Linked DNA regions of Arabidopsis thaliana. The protein of the gene in region 2 interacts with the protein of the main gene of each other region in a biochemical or structural test. Each region holds a gene or a part of one and is shown on either strand. Other genes may lie near its edges. The genes, in order: CIPK23, NRT1.1 and CPK6.

Evidence for each region.
Region 1: of the proteins of NRT1.1 (region 2) and CIPK23, one has a biochemical effect on the other in vitro, tested with the Arabidopsis thaliana proteins (one study listed by BioGRID).
Region 3: the proteins of NRT1.1 (region 2) and CPK6 form a complex in vitro, tested with the Arabidopsis thaliana proteins (one study listed by BioGRID).

The regions. Positions count from the first base shown.
Region 1 is NC_003070.9:10,652,694-10,659,723, reverse strand, and holds CIPK23 (CBL-interacting protein kinase 23), read right to left. Parts: upstream 4,925-7,030; 5' UTR 4,455-4,924; coding exon 4,230-4,454; intron 4,139-4,229; coding exon 4,076-4,138; exon of another isoform or gene 3,937-4,075; intron 3,779-3,936; coding exon 3,707-3,778; intron 3,621-3,706; coding exon 3,513-3,620; intron 3,405-3,512; coding exon 3,324-3,404; intron 3,185-3,323; coding exon 3,131-3,184; intron 3,034-3,130; coding exon 2,908-3,033; intron 2,732-2,907; coding exon 2,642-2,731; intron 2,523-2,641; coding exon 2,403-2,522; intron 2,324-2,402; coding exon 2,198-2,323; intron 1,984-2,197; coding exon 1,867-1,983; intron 1,771-1,866; coding exon 1,714-1,770; intron 1,634-1,713; coding exon 1,559-1,633; intron 1,441-1,558; coding exon 1,359-1,440; coding exon of another isoform or gene 1,342-1,358; exon of another isoform or gene 1,253-1,341; coding exon 1,200-1,252; 3' UTR 824-1,199; downstream 1-823. UniProt on the Arabidopsis thaliana protein: CIPK serine-threonine protein kinases interact with CBL proteins. Binding of a CBL protein to the regulatory NAF domain of CIPK protein leads to activation of the kinase in a calcium-dependent manner.
Region 2 is NC_003070.9:4,103,099-4,110,693, forward strand, and holds NRT1.1 (nitrate transporter 1.1), read left to right. Parts: upstream 1-2,124; 5' UTR 2,125-2,242; coding exon 2,243-2,357; intron 2,358-2,542; coding exon 2,543-2,720; intron 2,721-2,814; coding exon 2,815-2,854; intron 2,855-3,028; coding exon 3,029-3,603; intron 3,604-5,327; coding exon 5,328-6,192; 3' UTR 6,193-6,503; downstream 6,504-7,595. UniProt on the Arabidopsis thaliana protein: Dual affinity nitrate transporter. Involved in proton-dependent nitrate uptake and in the regulation of the nitrate transporter NRT2.1.
Region 3 is NC_003071.7:7,514,025-7,520,397, reverse strand, and holds CPK6 (Calcium-dependent protein kinase family protein), read right to left. Parts: upstream 4,069-6,373; 5' UTR 3,742-4,068; exon of another isoform or gene 3,543-3,741; intron 3,455-3,542; 5' UTR 3,394-3,454; coding exon 2,676-3,393; intron 2,520-2,675; coding exon 2,376-2,519; intron 2,284-2,375; coding exon 2,131-2,283; intron 2,039-2,130; coding exon 1,923-2,038; intron 1,831-1,922; coding exon 1,663-1,830; intron 1,577-1,662; coding exon 1,352-1,576; intron 1,270-1,351; coding exon 1,159-1,269; 3' UTR 736-1,158; downstream 1-735. Other genes in the region: AT2G17280 (Phosphoglycerate mutase family protein), read right to left, coding at 5,554-5,632, 5,720-5,764, 5,859-5,978, 6,070-6,158, 6,243-6,317. UniProt on the Arabidopsis thaliana protein: May play a role in signal transduction pathways that involve calcium as a second messenger. Functions in abscisic acid (ABA) regulation of guard cell S-type anion- and Ca(2+)-permeable channels and stomatal closure. Phosphorylates FD.

The DNA.
Region 1 (7,030 bases), 6.5 Mb from region 2:
CTTTCATATTCATTCGATCTCTTTAATTAAAAAATCATAGATCAAGGTAAACACAACAACTAATCAATCTCCACATTATACTAAACATTTTGATAGAAAAACAATATTTTGAGGATAAAAAATACTTAATACAACTGAAAACCAAAAAAAAATGAAGAACATGCATATTCTAATTGAAAAGTGAAACATTTCTAAAACTATATATATATATATATTTCAATTAAAAAATAGACTATTTAGTTTTATTTTGAAACAATTTATACTTTATATATATATATAAAATGACCCCCATGAAGAAAAACTTTGCCTCCGCCACTAACCACGAGGACCAAACTCTTTCTCCACATCCACAACAGCCTTAGCTGTTTCTAAACCAACAGGACCAACCTCCTCCTCCACATCTACAACATCCACAACAGCCTTAGCTTCATCCAAACTGTGAGGAACAAACTCCTCATCCACATCCACATTAGTTGTTTCCAAATTATGAAGACCAACCTCCTCCTCCTCCACACTCTTAGCTACAGCCTTACCTGTTTCTTAGCAATAAACAAGAGAGTAATACAGAAGAATAACAAAACCCCTAATTGAAGAATTGGTGTTCTTGTTCACATCTTCTTCGCCCTCAATTATTAATACAGAGTAACTTGGCCACCAAGTTTTCCATCTCTAAATTTTTGTTATAGTATTTGGTCCGACATAATCTTTATTGATATTTTTCTTTCCTTGATTTTGGTTTTAAAATCTCACTAACTTCAAGTCATGCTATATATTCAGTTTGTTTTGTCTACACTGATATTGGTTTTCAGTCCGCTTTCCTTTTTCAGGTTTTAAAATTATGAAAATAAATTTCGATTTGGTTCACACACAAGTGTTAGTTTGTTTTCAGTACATTTGAACTGAAATATCTATCGAATCTCAGCGTCCGACAATATAGAAATTGCAAAACCAAATCTGTAAAGCTTTTACTTTCCGGTTAATCGATTCAAGCCAAGAACCTCGCAACACGCATATGCTATTCACAACATTCCATGGAATCAAACATGATTAAAATATCAATAATCCCCATTCCCCAATATAGTTTCAAACTGCTTCTGCTCCACTTCTTGACGCTTCCTTTTGTATTAACTTCAAAACCACTCCGTACTACTATAGTAATTTATAACGAACAAAATCTATATTAGAAAAAAGTAAACAGCTTATGTCGACTGTTTTGCAATTGTCCGGTTAGCCATGGCACCATTAGTACCACCTGAAACATGAAGAAACAAAACAGGATTTGTGTTTACATGTTTCGTTAGTTTCTCCTTTTCTAGGAGCTTTATCTAAAAAACAGAGTATTCAAGGCAGATACTTACCACCATCGGTTCCTTCCTCTTTCTCTTCGTCGATGGTTTTCCAAACAATGTCCTTAAGTCCCGTGGTAAGGTTCTTGTAAAACTAAAAGAAGAGCAAGAAAGGATGCAAAAAGGTAAAGATTCAAACATCAGTTACTGGAAGACCATTTGACAAGCTCGGGTTTGATACAACCTGATCAGCATTAATAACCCTTGCATACCTTGTGGAATTCCAATGTGTCACCCCCTGATTTTCGCATTTCAACCATGTAAAGAGATGGAGCAACTTGAAAAACCTGAAGGTAGATGTCAATTAACTTAAATTAGGTTCAGCCAACCATACAAAGGGTGATCACTGGTCATTGTGAAAGCTAACCTCAGTGGCAACTGCCAACTGACCCTTGCGGCCTGATTTCTCTCCTGTCAGCTTCATCTGAAGGAGTTGAGAAATGGTTAAAGGGTCTATTCAGAAGCAACAAACCAATACACAACTCCACAGCATTGGGTAAATACGTAACAGTATTCTAACCTTGTAGTTATTTGTCTTGACATCAAACCCCATAGGTGCTGCCGCAGCCTCAATTTTTGTAACTATCTCATTAGCCGAAGATTTGGAAGTAAATCGAGTTTTTCGTTTCACCAGCCCCTGAAATCAGAGAAGCTTATCAATCAGAATGACGACTTCTATCAAACTAAGTACGGGCTTCCAAAGAAAAGTATTGGTCACTAAAATTTTGTGGCAAAGCTACTTCTTATTAGGTTTGACCAAAACCGCAAAAAGATAGTTAAAAATTGTCAACAAAATAAGAGCCTTGGGGGACGAAATTTAAAGACCAGCTTTACGTATCAGACTTCTGTACCATTTGTTTTTCGAAAAGTGAACCGAGATTGAGACCCTGGGATGTCGAGATGAGCTCAAAAGCATTCATCGTTACTGGTGTTTTGAGTCCTTCTTCTCGCCTCTCCACAACAAGATTCTTAGACTCCTATTAACAAACAAAAACAACTGAGCAATCATCCCGGACAAAGTACCGAAAAAAACAAACAAAAGAACACTAGCCTTACCCCTGAGTCATCAAAGATTGCATCAACATCATCAAGGCTGACATCAGCATTCTCAAATTTAGGTGCTTTATACCCTTTTTTAAACCACTCATTTTCAATGACCTCAGCAAATGTAATCCTCTGCCCAATATAAAAAATCAGTGTAAGCCTTCAGATCTACTCAATCCTATAGAAGCTTTTGCCTCTTCAAAGGAGAGATCCTCTAATATAAATTATATAATAGGGTAAGAAAAATATACCGTTGCTGGATTGGGATCCAGAATTCTTTTGATTAACTTCTTAGCACTTGCAGAGAACCAGGGAGGGCAAGTAAATTCTGCTTTGAATATCTGTAATTATGAAGAAAGAAAATCAGGTGGCTTTTATGCTATATACGTCTCATACAAAAATGACAGAGGCTTTTATACAGCCACCCAAATGCACCTAGACCTTGAAGCCTTTCTGATAGCATGTAAAATGATATGTATCAAAAGAAAAGCAAAAGAAGAAGAGGCAAGCGTAATACCTTTTTATATAACGACGTCAGGTTAGAATCTTCAAAAGGTAAATAACCAGCCATTAAAACAAAGAGAATTACTCCACAAGACCACAAATCAGCCTTCGCTCCATCATAACCTTTGTTGTTGATTACCTAGGGAGAAAATATAGAAGGTTACTGAGACTAGAAAATAATAGAATTCAAGTTTTGAGAAAATTGTGTGTCAGTTTTCAGTAGCAGTTGCTAATACCTCCGGAGCAACATAATTGGGTGTTCCACAGGTTGTGTGAAGTAACCCATCCTCCTAAAGAAAAAGGGTCACAAAATCAGCTTTTGAATAAATCATGGAAATCTTTCTCCTTAGAAGCCATAGTAGCTGAATTATCGAACTATGATATTTACAATGAAATGATAGAAAAAGAAATCAATATCTCGATGCTCACTCGAACTTGCTGAGGTAGAGCGCTCAATCCAAAGTCAGACACTTTCAAAGCACCATTAGCATCCAAAAGCAAATTTTCTGGCTGCAACCAGAATGTGCAACATGATTCAAACACATCAAACTTTTATTCTGATGCCAATTGATTCACAAGAAACCCTATGCAAGAGGATCACAAAGTAAGATTCCTAACCTTAAGGTCTCTATGATAAACTCCCCTGCTATGACAATAATCAACCGCATTAATCAGCTGTTGGAAATACTTCCTCGCCTCATCTTCCTTCAATCTCCCATTGCTTGACTAATACATGACAATTCTAAAGAATTAAGATCTCATTTCCACATAGTATTAAGAAAAAAAAAACACATCTTTCAATGAAATCTTACAATTTTATCGAAAAGCTCCCCACCAGTGACGAATTCCAAAACGAAGTAGATCTTAGTTTTGCTAGCCATCACCTGAAGAAGAAGAAGAAGAAGAAGAAGAAGAAGAAGAAGAAGAAGAAGAAGAAGAAGAAGAAGAAGAAGAAGAAGAAGAAGAAGAAGAAGAAGAGAATCTGTAACTACAAAGATACCAAAAAAATACATAGAATAATCAAATCCCTTATATTACATACATATGATTAGCCAGGGACCACAAATATGTTCCATAACTTCAAACGAATCTCAGCTTATAGCACAAATCTATAGAACAACAACAACAACCAAAACGTGCAACACAACTTTGAATTCAGCTTTATAGTATCAGAATCAAACCTCAAACATACGAATGACATTCGGGTGCTTGATCAATTTCATCGTCGAAATCTCACGCTTGATCTACAAAATCCAAAATCAAAGGTTATATCACAACTGCGTAAATCAGATTCCCAATAAGAACACAGCAGCTGGAGAATTGTATAATACATACCTGAGCGATCATCTTATTTTTCAGAACTTTCTCTTTATCAATAACCTTAATAGCGACATTATCACCATTCTCAACATTTCTAGCGAATTTGACCTTAGCGAAAGTTCCTTCACCCAAAGTTCGTCCAAGCTCATACTTACCAACTCGTGTCCTACCACCAGAAGAACTACCAGAAGGCGTTGATCGTGAAGGAGTCGATCGTGAAGGCGTTGTTCGAGAAGCCATCTCTCTCTCTATATATATATCTCGGTCTCTTATATATATATAGATAGATCTCTATTGAATCAGGAGGAGGACCTCTTCTTCTTGCATGGCTGCCATACTTGGGATTTCGCAACGCTCATCGTGAGAGATCTGCAGAAGAATTAAAACCCTAAGGGACCGGAGACCATATAAACAGCCGAAAATCAAAATTCAACTCTCGTGTGCGGAGAAAATTCAATTTGGACGAAGAAGAAGACTCATGAAGACGAGATTTGTATTTGAAGTGAAATTTTGTCAGTAGGGAAAATTCTGGGAATCGTAAATTTCGGCTGCTTTAGAAAAATCGAAGCCGGTTCTGGGAAAAAGCGAGTAACAGCAAGCGAGAGAGAGAGAGATTGTGATTCGATGGTGGAAGGAATTTAAAAGTTAAATTAAGAAGTAAATTAGTTAAGGAAATGTTTAATTAAAATTCTGTTTAGGGATTATACGAGGAAGGTTGTATCTGTAGGTTCTGACGTATACTATAGTTTACATTTTAAATTATTCTAGGCTTATCTTAGTCTTTGATAATTTAAATGCAAACGTTATGGACTTATGGTGATTACAGAAAATTATGTCATCCTTTTTTATCAAATATAAATAAAAGTAAATATTTTACTTTTTTACATGCCGTGTAATTAGCTGTCATAATTTTTTAAAACAAAATTTCGAAAAAGAAAATAAAAAATATGATATTTTCTCCAACCGAATAATCAACGATTTCAAAAGAGTTAAAGAACGACAGTAAAGAATTTATAAATTTTTCTTTATCTTTAATTTCTCGTAAAAATAAAAACAGATAAATTAGTACAAAAAAATTCTTACCTAACTTAAATAATATTCTCGAAATTGCTCAATTAAATTCTAATTAATATTAATTATTAAAATATATATATATATATATATATATATATATATGCAAACTTTTAATAAAAATATTGAACTAAGTCCACCACTTATCCAATTAGCTGCCATCACTTATCCAAGTATCTTTTTATACTCCGAGATTCCAAACATGTGTACTTATAAGATTTATAAAACGTAAGAGGATCTTTTATTTACTCTAATAAATACTATTGATTAGATTTGAAACGTCCAATTGAACTTTTGATGTTATGGAAAAGCCGTTACCAGTATCAAGGAGCTACGTGCCCTTTTCAATACTAAATGTTTCACAAAAGGGGCACTTAATGATACAAACCATTAAACATTAAATTTTCGATGGTTCGATCAAATGTTTAGAATCTTCTGTCTAGATTATATATGTGTTTGTGTTTCTATAAGAAATAATGCTCTATTATAAATACAGTATACAGTTATCAACCTAACTAGTTATACTTGTTTTTTCAACCCAAAATAGTTTAAACCTAGTTTCTGATTTTTATGGTGCTCATCAAAGAGAATGTTATCTAATAATCATCGTATTAGCATAAAACAATAGAACCAAATCATTGGTGGGCAAATGTACATACACATGACCTTGCCACGTTTTCTTGAAAGGGTTTGACTTTACAATTGATAGCCCATGAGGCCATGACCATCATGATGCATATTTTTAAAAATAAAAGTTATCTGATTCATATATATTCATACTCGTTTAGTCGTTGAATGTAAATTCTCAAATCTTTTCATCATAATTTTCTTCAGTTGATGATCATTGCAGATGCTTTAGATTGAAAATTATATTTAATCTCTTAAAAACCCTAATGTGTAAATAATGACTTTCTTATCAAGAAAGTATATTCCCGGTCAGTCATTATAATATTTGACCTCGGAAATAAAAATAAACCGACCCACGAGTTCGTGTTTGTGATCAGAAAACTAAATTAACGGAAGTTAACAGAAACAATCATGTTCGAGTGTCTGTTGGAGGCAACCAAGACATTATTATTTGCTTAATTAAAATGATTTTACAAAGCGTACAATATCTCTTTCTAACCTAATAATACCAAAACTAAACCCTTTAACAAAAAGAACATAACACCAAAATTCAATTCTAATAAGAATCAAACAATAATAATCTTTTTAATCGGTCGAGTTAACTGTACTTGAGACATATAGTCACAATTATTTTAAATCTATGTTTGATTATTTTATACGTAAATATATTTAAAAGTTCATCATTAGTAATTAAATTTTGAACTTTAACGGTAAAAGAAAAAAAAAATAACGTAAAATAACGTTGTATTATCTGTATATTTGTCATATATGACTACATTTATTTCAGACATAGTATAAACTTGGTTGATGTTTCTCTTGTGATTAAAACATATATTTCAGTGAGAACATATACTCGCCAGGTTTCTCGGATGATAACTAATATCCCTTTATTATTTTAAGGGAAGTACAAATTGAAAGTTTGTTTAATTTGGCCTCAATTTTGATTTCAATTTTGGATTTTGTTCTCTGATATTCAAAATCATTAAGGGTAATTTGGTATTAACAACCTCCTAAACTTTATATGATCCGATTCAATCTAAACCGTTCAATAAAATTAATTCACTTCAATATAAACCATTCAACAAAAGTAAGGAATTTATGTCGTTTTTAAAATCAAA
Region 2 (7,595 bases):
AAGGATTTAACGCTTATTGTAAAGGCCTTTTTTTTTTTTTTACTCTGATGGTTTGTCAGAAGATTATTCGTTAATGAATTATACGTTTGTTATAAACTGTAAATCTTCATTTTGAATGTAAAACTCAAAAATTAAAATTGAAGCAAAAGGTAGTTTCCTTGTTCGTGCTAACTGCTAATGTCGATTAAGATTCATCCTCTTGAAATGACCGAGTCAACGCTGAGGGAGAATCTCACGTGGTCCTACCAACTATCACGTGCCAAAAATCTGGGCCCTGAGATATACCTATAAGCAAAAGCCAGCTCCGCCCAAAACATTTGATCCATCCATTTTCATTTTTATTTTCCAATTTTGAAGTTAGGGTTTATTTTTATAAGTTTCCATTAATTTATTTTCTTATTCCTTTTCGGAGGATGTGTTTATTAATTTAATTTCAATAGAAGATAATATATTTGGGTTCACCACTCGTTCTCTTTTTCTTTTTGGATGGGACTCTTCATTGTGACTTTTTTGTTCTCGCTCTTCCACAATCTTTGGATGTGTACAAAATAATCGATTGTTGGGGATATTATAGTAAATTTAGCAATATGAAACTAGCAACGAAGAAAGTGTTTATTGATGGGTTCAAAATTTCATCGATCTGCATATCAATAACTCGGAAAGAGATGGATCATGACACATAGTATACAATAAATTTTATAAATTTCGAAAATTAACTAATTGAGGATAGAAATTCATCAATTACTTAATAAATAAATAAAAAACTGATTCAAATGTATGTTTTACTTCTGTAACATACAATTTCTTGCTTTTCTTGAAAATTGACTCGTTTTTTATATTGGATATTTTACATAGACTTTGAGACTTATTAATAAAACTAACTAACCATCTCTTACAAATTGTTGGAATAAATTATTTTTATTTTTCTGTTGGCTCTATAAAATGAAAATGACCTTTGTTCTTCTTCTTTATACTCCTATATATGTTTTCTCCAGAGAGAAAGAGAACCATTGAAGTTGCGAGACTTCCAATTATATATATAGTTCATGAAAGTCCTGTGACCATGCTCTTTATTTATTTTATTTCACTATACGTTAAATAAATGGAAAGTAGGGTAATAATCATATTGCAGCATGATTCATTTTAGTGGCGTCTAAGAAGCATTCATTTTGAGCCATTAAATCTCAAGGTAGACTTTCCCATTAACACAAAAGAAGAAAAAATTGGTACGTAATCATACCAACATCTACAAATCTTTGGTTTCAATTTTGTAACAAAGACCTAGATTGTTGACAAACAAAAAGCAAATACCTAAAAGGACTTTTATTGACTTCTATAAAGATGTTTTGATTGAAATTTCATATAATTTAATAGTTTCCTCAAACTATATGCAATAAAATTATAATTTGATAATTACATGTGAAAGAAAACATGACTCTCAAATTAATATGAGTCGATTATCAATAAATTTTTGTGATATGGCTGTGCTGCAGAACAACTGAATGGGCCTAGAAGTAAAGTTGATATTGAGCAAACAAAAAACGAAATAGATTTTTTTTTTCTTTTGGGCAAACTCAAAAAACGAAATAGATATGCCTCGACAATACTACAAAATCTCAAATGAACAATATTGATGAAAATGCGTTTGTAACACAGAAATCAATTATTTTGAATTATTTTCCATATATAGTACAGACGTAAAAAACATACTGTATTATCTTTCATGGAAGTAAAATAATTTTCCAAGAAATAGAACAAATGTAAAACAGGTGGTGGCTAAAACTGGTGCTTTTAATGGCTAATGCCATTGAATCACTGACAAAATGACCGATGACTTCAACTTAAAAGTTCAAGCCCACAGTTCCAAAGGTAGAGGAAGTGGTAAAATTTAGGTATGGTCTCTTTCTCTCTCTCTCAATTTTCTCTTTCTACAAATATATACTACAGTTACAGTAGTAGTTATTATTATTAATTATTCTCTCCCCAATCAAACAACACTCATCAGAGTCACACATGTGTCACTTTTTTCTTCAATATTTTAGTTTTATGAATAAAAAATCAAAATAAAACAATAAAAACTTTTTTAACTTGGCTAGTTTCCCAGTATAAATAGATGTATCAACGAACACATTTAAGACCACAAAAGAAACCAAGAGCTCTCAAACAAAACAGCCTTTTACATAAGAACAAACACCCCCAAAAACTGCAAAAAAAAGAGAGAGATCATTAATCCATCTTCAAGATGTCTCTTCCTGAAACTAAATCTGATGATATCCTTCTTGATGCTTGGGACTTCCAAGGCCGTCCCGCCGATCGCTCAAAAACCGGCGGCTGGGCCAGCGCCGCCATGATTCTTTGTAAGTATAATCACATAATAAAAGTTCTAGAGAAAAGCTACCAACAATATACATGCTGAAGACAAGAATTGAAACTTTTTAATGGCATTTACTAAGTTATAAGTTTCTTATGGCTATCATTCTTATTCTTTTATGTATTCTCGATGTATCCAACTTTATCATTAACAAAATTTTATTGTGTGAAGGTATTGAGGCCGTGGAGAGGCTGACGACGTTAGGTATCGGAGTTAATCTGGTGACGTATTTGACGGGAACTATGCATTTAGGCAATGCAACTGCGGCTAACACCGTTACCAATTTCCTCGGAACTTCTTTCATGCTCTGTCTCCTCGGTGGCTTCATCGCCGATACCTTTCTCGGCAGGTTTGTCTATAAATATATTTATATTTACTTAACTAAAATCATTCAGATTCTTTTTAAAATATTAATTTGAGTTCATTCATTTTGTTTTGTATAGGTACCTAACGATTGCTATATTCGCCGCAATCCAAGCCACGGTAAGGACCTCAAAAGTCCCTTTCTCCTTACCAAAACTTATACCCAAGAAAACGAAGAAAATAAAAATATTGTCTAGTCAATAAACAAATCGAAATAGTAAACAGCATAAGTCGTTATTTTTGTTATAGTTTTCCGAAAAATAATATCCGTGTTATGAACTATGATGCTATCAGGGTGTTTCAATCTTAACTCTATCAACAATCATACCGGGACTTCGACCACCAAGATGCAATCCAACAACGTCGTCTCACTGCGAACAAGCAAGTGGAATACAACTGACGGTCCTATACTTAGCCTTATACCTCACCGCTCTAGGAACGGGAGGCGTGAAGGCTAGTGTCTCGGGTTTCGGGTCGGACCAATTCGATGAGACCGAACCAAAAGAACGATCGAAAATGACATATTTCTTCAACCGTTTCTTCTTTTGTATCAACGTTGGCTCTCTTTTAGCTGTGACGGTCCTTGTCTACGTACAAGACGATGTTGGACGCAAATGGGGCTATGGAATTTGCGCGTTTGCGATCGTGCTTGCACTCAGCGTTTTCTTGGCCGGAACAAACCGCTACCGTTTCAAGAAGTTGATCGGTAGCCCGATGACGCAGGTTGCTGCGGTTATCGTGGCGGCGTGGAGGAATAGGAAGCTCGAGCTGCCGGCAGATCCGTCCTATCTCTACGATGTGGATGATATTATTGCGGCGGAAGGTTCGATGAAGGGTAAACAAAAGCTGCCACACACTGAACAATTCCGGTACGATTCTTTTAATTAACTCATCATTTGCTTTCCACGTACGATCCTCAAAACTTACAATGATTTAAATTTTAAGATAAAAGTTTTAAAATTTTTCTTTTTCTTTTCCATTTAAGGGTTAATTGAAATAATTGAGGTACTGGTTCCCTTAATTAAATGTGATAGTATCAGTAGACTTTAAAAATGTGAAATTAAAAGTGGGGTTGTGTGGGTGAGAAATAACTCGAAATGCTCGTGTCCTTTAATTATAGTGGGACCGTAAATATTTCTCATTATATGCCTACTTGGCATTAGAAATCATTTTTTTTTGACAGCCATTATAAATTAATTAAAAGGTGTTGAATATCTTTCTTTGTCTTTTGTTACGGGGAAAATAAATTATTTTCATAATATTATTACTCGACCATACAGCGAAACTGGTCCAGGATACGAATTATACAGCTAATTACAACATTTTTGGATTTTTGGGTTCAAAGTCCCTACTTTGGCATTTTATATTGTATATTTTTTCCTTAAAATCCTATGTGTGTGTGCATGTGTATATCTTTGTTAGATAACACGTTAAGTTCGGTTCATAGAATAGGTAGGAAAATAAAAGTAGTCTCTCGGAATTAGTCGGAAAGATAAAGTAATTCAGATAAACAAATGAATAAGTATATGCAAGTGATATCAAGTGGGGTAAAATTCTCCATCTTTACTTTTTGCCTATAAAAAATTTCACACCCACTCGTAGAATATTTGGTTTTTACAGAAAGAGTATCTTCATCATTGCGGAAAATTAAATACACCAATTTGCTATTTTATCTTTATTATAGTATTATAATTATGATTATGATTCTAATGCCTTATAACTTTAAATACACATACACTGACACACATATATCTATATTTATATTCCCCTGACTCGTGAGTTTTCCCCCTTTAAGTACGGTATCTTTTATTTTTGCTAACTTAAGTACAGTATCTTTTATCCATCAATCCCTATGCATACCTACATAGAAATAAAAGAATCCAAAGGAATCAATTTTTCTTTATACCAGATAATTTATGGAAAATCTATTTAGCATCTCTAGATATTGGAATCCCTTTCTCGGAAATAAAACTAATAAAGAAGAAGAGACGAGAAGTTAGGGTAGGGAGGCAGGTGTTTTGTCTGTAGTGAAAACGATCAAATATCGTGTCGTAGCACCTCCACTACTTTACACCTTCACCGGGACAGACCCAAAGTTAGGCATAATTAAGAACCCTAGCGTCACATGCACGACACGTGCTTTGCGTGCTCGGTGCTTCATTAAATTTCTCTTTCGTTTGGGTCTCTCTAAAAGGTAGTTGAAAACTAAAGAAAAAACCTTTTACACTTTTCCATAAATTCAAACTCTTAACTTTTTTTTGCCTACACTATTTTAAAAGCAATTACGTATTTGTCATGCATGTGTGTGAAGGATATATCATCTTGAAAAGATTCCACGTAACTATCTCCACAACATGTTGATTCAAATATTCAATGCGTAAGCTATATTCCAAAAAAAGAAACAATGTATTATTGATATGAAATTTCAATAAATAGGGACACTTCATAATTTTCTAAGAAACACACAAAAGATCTTTGGTTTGAAAAATCAGATACTTATCTTTAATCCAATATATGTAAAATATTTTATCTCCATTTTACATAATTTACTATTATATTCTAATTATTCCTTATATCATTTTTGATGCCACAGTTCATTAGATAAGGCAGCAATAAGGGATCAGGAAGCGGGAGTTACCTCGAATGTATTCAACAAGTGGACACTCTCAACACTAACAGATGTTGAGGAAGTGAAACAAATCGTGCGAATGTTACCAATTTGGGCAACATGCATCCTCTTCTGGACCGTCCACGCTCAATTAACGACATTATCAGTCGCACAATCCGAGACATTGGACCGTTCCATCGGGAGCTTCGAGATCCCTCCAGCATCGATGGCAGTCTTCTACGTCGGTGGCCTCCTCCTAACCACCGCCGTCTATGACCGCGTCGCCATTCGTCTATGCAAAAAGCTATTCAACTACCCCCATGGTCTAAGACCGCTTCAACGGATCGGTTTGGGGCTTTTCTTCGGATCAATGGCTATGGCTGTGGCTGCTTTGGTCGAGCTCAAACGTCTTAGAACTGCACACGCTCATGGTCCAACAGTCAAAACGCTTCCTCTAGGGTTTTATCTACTCATCCCACAATATCTTATTGTCGGTATCGGCGAAGCGTTAATCTACACAGGACAGTTAGATTTCTTCTTGAGAGAGTGCCCTAAAGGTATGAAAGGGATGAGCACGGGTCTATTGTTGAGCACATTGGCATTAGGCTTTTTCTTCAGCTCGGTTCTCGTGACAATCGTCGAGAAATTCACCGGGAAAGCTCATCCATGGATTGCCGATGATCTCAACAAGGGCCGTCTTTACAATTTCTACTGGCTTGTGGCCGTACTTGTTGCCTTGAACTTCCTCATTTTCCTAGTTTTCTCCAAGTGGTACGTTTACAAGGAAAAAAGACTAGCTGAGGTGGGGATTGAGTTGGATGATGAGCCGAGTATTCCAATGGGTCATTGATCATGAATTCATGATCATGATCATGATGATGAACATTATGCATGTCTATGTTGATATGTTTGAATTTGATTTTGAGTTTTGTTTGTATATTTTATGATGCTTTTCTTAATTACCTCTTGTTTCCGAGTCGACAAATAATGGACCGACCGATAAGGGATAAAAGTTAAAGTTTTCCCATCAGGTTCTGTATAAAAGCAGAAATTGTAACATTTCTTAAGATTTGACGCAATTAACGTCTTTTTGTCTTCAATTTCCATTTTTCATTTTTTCCCAGTAAATTATCATACCATTCAACGTTTGTTTTCTCACTTGTTTTGGTATCGTTTGTTTTCGAATATGTGAATAATTTGGACCAGAACTAGGCGTCTAGGCCACTAGCTAGTGCCTAGTGGACTATCACACCTTTCTTTTGTAATATTGGTAAACAAAAAAAGTTGTCTTTAAAACTATAATTGAATTATGACCGAGCTCTGTGAATTTACTGGCTCAATTGTCTCTCGATGACTACTGGTCAAGTGATTAATTTGAATTATCAAGGAGCTGCATGATTAAGTCCAAAACATATATAATCATGATGAATACAAATTAAATATGACAAATGATGAATATTACTTTTATTTGTTTACACTTGTTACTTTTATTTTTTGGATATATACTTTTATATCTTTCAACTATGTAGCTAATTGGATAAAGAATCATCAGTCTAAAGTCTAAACTGATCAACAATCCAGTTTTTTTTTTCAATTATTTTTCAATCAGATAAATACCAATTATTAGCTATAATTTCGATGAATTACTATCGAATTGTTTATAGGGAATTTAATGAAAAAAACCCTCAATTTTGGCCAGATCCATTTTTAAACCCTGAACTATGTTTTTAGTAAAACAAACCCTGAACTAAAACCTGTTAATAAACTTAACCCTACAGTAATTAAATATTAATGGGATATTAATTTCCAAAAATCGACCAAAGAACAATGACAGAATCCGTGATCCAACTGAAGATCGTCCACCTCAAAAAGTTCCTTATACACGTGAAAAAGTTCAAATGGTAAAATAGAAAACAATGAATTATGTTTCACAAGATCTTCTTTTTCAAATTATTTAATTTAATCTTTGCATATTTAGACTTGCAGCAACTGTCAACAAGTCGGACACAACAAACGTTCATGCAAGCGTAAAGCAGTGCCAAAACCACCCAAGAAACCTCAAGGACGACCAAGGAAAAAACAGAAAACAATGGATGAAGAGAACCCTATCACTCAGCCAATACAATCTTCTCTTCAAAGTTAATGCTTGACAAGTCTTTACTTTAGAATATCTTGTCCCTCTGAAACGATTGTTTTTTTTTGTGACAAATATTGTTGTGTTGCAACAGGTTCGATAGTTATGTTGGTTGGATT
Region 3 (6,373 bases), on a different chromosome or scaffold from region 2:
CGCTAGATTTATTTATATAGATGGTAGGAGGCGGCATAACTCAAAACCCTAATCTTCTACGTGTGCGTACATGTATTGTTTAGTTTTATTATATTTTTAATCTTTGATATATGAGGATGTGCTTTATTTTCTCGTAACGACTGATTTAATGATCTTTTTTAATTTACTTTGTAGACGAAATTTGACCAATCTATTTCACCATTTTTCGGAAAACTAAATAAAAGGTGACATAAATAACTCACTGCATGTGGTGTGAAATGTATATACATTAATACATACGAACATACGATGCATATATATAAATAAGTGGGAGCACATGGTTTCCCTGTCATGTTCCAATCCACCACATTGGGACCAATGTATGATTGATTGTTTCGAACAACCTTAAGTTTGGTTCTAAGACATCACTTTGATTACATGATTGAGACTTAGTAGCTATCATCATACAGTATTCCACATTTTACATCAATTATTGCTCTTTTATTACATAAATTTTTGTGTATATACACACACTCATGTGTTCATATGTACATACATGTTTATGTACTTACAGATTCAGATGTAATTAGAGAAAGAAATTAGTGGACAGAAACTTGTAACATAGTAGTTGACTAGTTGTATTAATGTTGTCGCTATGACTCCAATTTGGAAGTATGCATGTGAGAAAAGACGACCAAAGCCGAGCTAAAAAGTTTAACAAACCAAAGTGAAGAGTATGCGTTTGTGTACTAACAACAGCAACAACAACTAAAAGGTGGAAGATTGTCACACAACTTGTATATCACATTTGTACTATATTGGAAGATGATTTGATCTTTCAAAAACCCAAAAAGGGTCAAAGCTTTCGACGATGGAGATGAAATAAAAACCAAACTTAAACAGTTGTTACAAACAAACAAAACAGAGAGAGAGAAAATAGAAATAGTCCTCACAGCTACTGATGAACAGAACTTAACACTTTTTTTTTATCTTTCACCATTTTTTAATCATACAGTAGTTTTTAACATTTTTAACTCAAACCTTCAACGATTTAGCTGGTTCGCTGCAGCTATGAATCTGGTTTCTCTTCCTCCTCTGTGATTAAACATTGCAAATGTTGATTCCATGGAAACATTTGCATCCTCACCGAATAGACGATTTAAAGATGTGTGTATGTGCCTACACATCTCTCATGCTGATGTTTAGACTATTTTTCATTGTTCTTCTCCCTACACCAGCATTTCCCTTTTGCATCATCGCAACAAATTCTTCGTAATCAATCCGTCCATCCTGTAAGAAACAAAAACCAAAACTTTATTAGCAAACACCAATGGTGAAGAGTGGAAGAATCATGTCAAGAGGCAAAGCTTACGTTGTCTTGATCTACTTCTTTGATTATGTCTTCAAGAAAAACATCGGTCATCCCATGTTCAATGCAAGATTGTTGCAGCTCATCAATGGTGATGTAACCACTTCCATCTTTGTCAAAGTACTGAAATGCAGAGACAAGATGCTCTTCTCTCTCTAGTTTATTCAGATGGATCGTCGCTGCAATAAACTCGCTGTAATCTATTGTACCGCTGTTGTCCACATCAGCCTAAGATACAACACAGAGAGTATGGTTATTGTCATCTATATAGCGAAATGAACTAGTGTGCATATCTCAAAAGGATGCATTGTTACCGCTTCCATAAGATCTCGGATCTCGGTGTCTTTCAAGGTTGATCCATATCTTCTCAAGCCAGCTTTGAGTTCATCAAAAGTGATTGCACCGCTGTTATCAGTATCCATTGCCTCAAACATTGCTCTTAAACCCGCAATCTCTTCTTCTGAGAGGCTCTCAGCTATCACCTGATCATTCCATAATCACTAATATGAGTAAACATATCTCAAACGAATGTGATGCAGAGACAATAGAAGATTGAGTATAACTACAAACTGACCTTTAAAGCCATCTTCTTTAATTTATTCATTGCAGAAAACTGTTTTAGACGAGACAAAACAGCCGGGTCAAGTGCTCTATCCGGTGCAACTCCATTCTCACAGATCCATGGATGACCTGAAAAAAAAAGAGATACATACAAGAGATATAGTCTAATGTTGTGTGGCTGCCAAATGTAACCATTTATTTAAGTGTAATTGATTACGTACGCAAGACTTCATGAGCAGTCAAACGTTCAGAAGGACTAGAGCATAACATCTTCCGGATCAGATCTTTAGCACTGTCGGATATGACAGGCCACGGGTCTGTATCAAAGTCAATATATCCCTTCAACACAGCATCAAATATTCCTTGCTGTGTTTCTGATTTCAAAAACACAAAACCAAACTTCAGGAAACCTTGTCAATGGCACTAATTAAGAGAACGCATTGAAACAGCTATATCGCCCGCATACCTGCCCAGAAAGGCGGGACACCACTTAGTAAGATATAGAGTATAACACCAGCAGTCCACACATCAGCTTCTGGACCATAATGTTTTAGAAGAACCTCAGGAGCAACATAGTATGGACTTCCAACAACATCCTTGAATATTTGGCCTGATATTAGAGTAAGACTACACATTATGCAAAGCTGAAACATTTACATTCCCTTACTCATTTGATGAATAGAAAGTCACAGTAATGTATACTACAAAACACATCATGGTACTTAAATAGATTCAGAACAATGAGAAACTCGCAACTAACGCTTACCTGGTTTGAAGAAAACAGAGAGACCAAAATCAATGGCCTTAAGAGAGAAATCATCATCCTTATTAACCAACAAGAAATTCTCAGGCTTTAAATCTCTATGCATAACACCAAGAGAATGACACGCCTCAACAACACCGACAATGATCTTGGTCAACTCAGCAGCTTTCCTCTCGCTGTAATGACCTCTATGAATAATCCTATCAAACAACTCACCACCAGCACAAAGCTCCATCACAATGTGAACATACAAAGGATCCTCATAAGCTCCTTTAATAGTAACAATATTCTTGTGACCAGCTAAATGATGCATAATCTGAATCTCCCTCCTAACATCCTCAACATCTTCTTTAGATATCAATTTCCTCTTGGATATAGACTTACAAGCATAGTCAACACCTGTGGCAATATCAGTACACAAATACGTTGTCCCGAATTGTCCTTGTCCTAACTTACGACTCAACGTGTAAAGATCACGAATGTTAGGAGTCTTGTGACCAAGAACATAGTAAGATTGATTGTCAACGTTACGCCGCATAATGGGTTCTTTAACAGGAATCACAAGAGCTGGATTGGTGTTCTGTTTGGAGAAATCTTGGTCTGTAGTAGGAGAATGAACAGAGGAAACAGTAGTGGTGGTGGATTTGGAATTCTCCTCGGGCCTACTATGATTGCCCTCGTAGATTTTGTCCTTAAAAGAACCACGACATGAATTGCCCATGAAACAAACTCTCTCTATTTCACAACTTTTTTCACTTTCTTCTTCTCCTCATCCAACGAAACTGTTTCATGAACAAACATACACAAAAAAAATCAGATAAAGAGAAGCCAAAAAAGTATCAAACTTTGGAACGAAATCAAAGAACCCACATCAGATCAAGCTTCAAAAAACATAATTGTTTTGTAACATAATCAAAGATTAAAGAAAAAAAGACAAGAGCTCCTGAAAAGTCGTAGCTTTAAATGTTCATCGATCATTATAGATCCCAAAAAAGAATCAAAGACACAACAATAAATGAAGAAATCATTTGGTAATAAAAGAAACATGAGAAAACAGAGGATCTAGTACCGGAATATAGCAGAACAGCGAGAAGACGATGAAATGGAGACGAAGAAGAAATGGGAAAAACTCAAAAAAGGATAATTATTCGTTGATAGTTTTTGTTTAAGTCAATAACAAAAGAGAAAAAATGGTTTCTTTGTTATGTTATTGTTTAATAGTATATATCTCTATATGTGTTGCTGTTTCTGGTTGGGTAATTGGATTCGTTGAATCATTAGAGAGTGTTAAAAAGATTGATTCTTTTGTGGATTTGTGAAATGATGAAGGAGAGAGGATGGTGCAAAGAAGAAAGGTCTTTTACGCGGTTTCGTCTCACCTTCTTCATTCCTTAATTGCTTGTTTAATTAGTATTAATTTAAGGGATCATCATCTTTTACTGGTGTAATGATACTTAGTGCAAGTAGGGAGAATAAAAAATTGCAATAATTTGTTTAGGATAACTTATTATTAAGAGAATGATTATAAGCCTAACGTTATACTAGCTTTTTTTAAGAGTTGGATGTGCTTAACTTAGCTAACTACAAAATATTATTATTAGATGCATATAGTTAAGAGTTAATTTATGGTCTTGATTAACAGATCGAAACAATGGACAACTAAATTTGTTCTGAAAACTCAAGTTTTATTATGTTGACTTTTCACATTGGTTCATCAAAGATGTCACATTCTTTTTTACTTTTGCTAGTATATAGGCTTTCTTGAATAAACATTTTGGTATGTCTACGTTGAAATAACAACTAGTACAGTATAAATCAAACTTTTAGCACTGAAAGTTTTGCATAATTTTACCAATAATTAGTGAAGTATATAGGATATCACTTTTTTCTTACAAGAACTAAGGCATGGGGCATGTCATTGTCGGGTAGTGAGTAAGATCGCAGACTACAATTTGTCTCGCACGTGGTACAAATTTAGTTTGGGTGTACTTTTTTTTTCTTTTTGACATCACAGTATTGTACTTACAGTTTTTTTATTTTCCAATAGATAACTTTACAAACCGTGAATCATATCATTTAAAAAAAAAAATCGTTCTCTTAAACGGATAAGAAGCTAGACCTACTTTAAATTTTACATTGTCGAGTGTTCTTTAAAAGATCTTATCATATGTTCAAAATTGGGGAACAAAAAATTTCGAATTCCTAATGGTAAAAGCTTTCTCCAATAGTTTGGAGAGAGCGTAATTTCTATAAAGAATCTGAATACGATTATCGATTATATTAAAGTCCAAATACATAGAACGTACGAAGAGCATTAAACTTTGATCTACTTCTATAAAAACACTTAAAACATTTTCTATTTTCATAAAAAATCTCAACACCAAAAGATAAAACCTAGTACTATAAGAAAAGCTGAGTGTAATTTTTGGAATTTTCTCTTTGTTTTATTAAAATGCTTGGCCATAAGAAAATTCAACACAGCTGCCATAAAATATGAAGTTGATCTTACATAAATAATGTTTTAAGTTTCTGCTGGTTCTCATGTTGATAGAGATAAATCTACTCATCTAAGATTCACACTTATAATTTAGTTGCATCTACCAGTTCCTCTACTTGTAATGCTATTATTTCCACAATTGTATAATCACAGCTAAAATGAGAATTGGAGCAGAAATATTAAAGCTACCGCTAAATTTTGGATAATAACAATCATACAATAAATTCATGTAGCAGCAGAGTCAACCTACATGGCTACATACCAACACTAATGTTCATCAAATAACTGAAAATGCCAGATTCTAGTCCAATGGAAACATCATGTAATTTATTTATTTTAGAAAGAAAAACTATCTCAGAATTCTCTCTCTTACTCTTCAGCCATTTAGCCACTAGGATTATCAAGTCCTTCAGGAACCTTCCCAGGATAGTTTGTGGTCTCTGCAGAGTCAGTCCCCAGGTTCCTACACACCCAACACCATAATAAATAATCCAACACACTCTCAAATTATATTTATATTCTGTCAAAACTTATTGTAATTATTGCTTACCCTCGATCCACGATAACCATTGAGCGAAGCTCACAGTTGCTCAAACTGAACAAAGTTAAAGATGTTGATTAGTTAAACAGTTTCAAGTTATACAAATTGTTGGTGCTTGTAGACATCAAGTTTTTGTTTAAGCTCTTACTGTATAGACAACTCTTTCTTTAGGTCATCGCAACAATCCTTCCCGAAAGAACTCAAGAGACCGTGCAAGAAGCCACTGTGAGATACAATTGCGATCTCCTTCTCTTTCCTTGTCCATATCCTTCACAAAGCAAATGGCAGTAGAGAGATTCAGCTATACATATGTTTACATATATCTCCATGTGGAAATAAGTAACAAAAATGAAACTCACCATTTGATGAACTCTACACCTCTGGCTGCAACTTCTTCAAGGCTCTCTCTTGGACTCGGCTTCCACAGAACATCATTGTCGGTTTCAATCTAAAACCATAGAGGTCAAAGCATAAGCAACTTGCCAACATTTCCACAGAGATATATATTAACCATATAAGATGTTTTTCTTACAATTGAGAAATCAATAGCGGGAAAGAGAGCCTTGTACTCAGTGACGCTTCTTCGCCTGTCACAAGGATGATCACCCTGCATCCATAAAAACAATCTTTAACAATGTGATCTTCACTCATCTATACTAACAA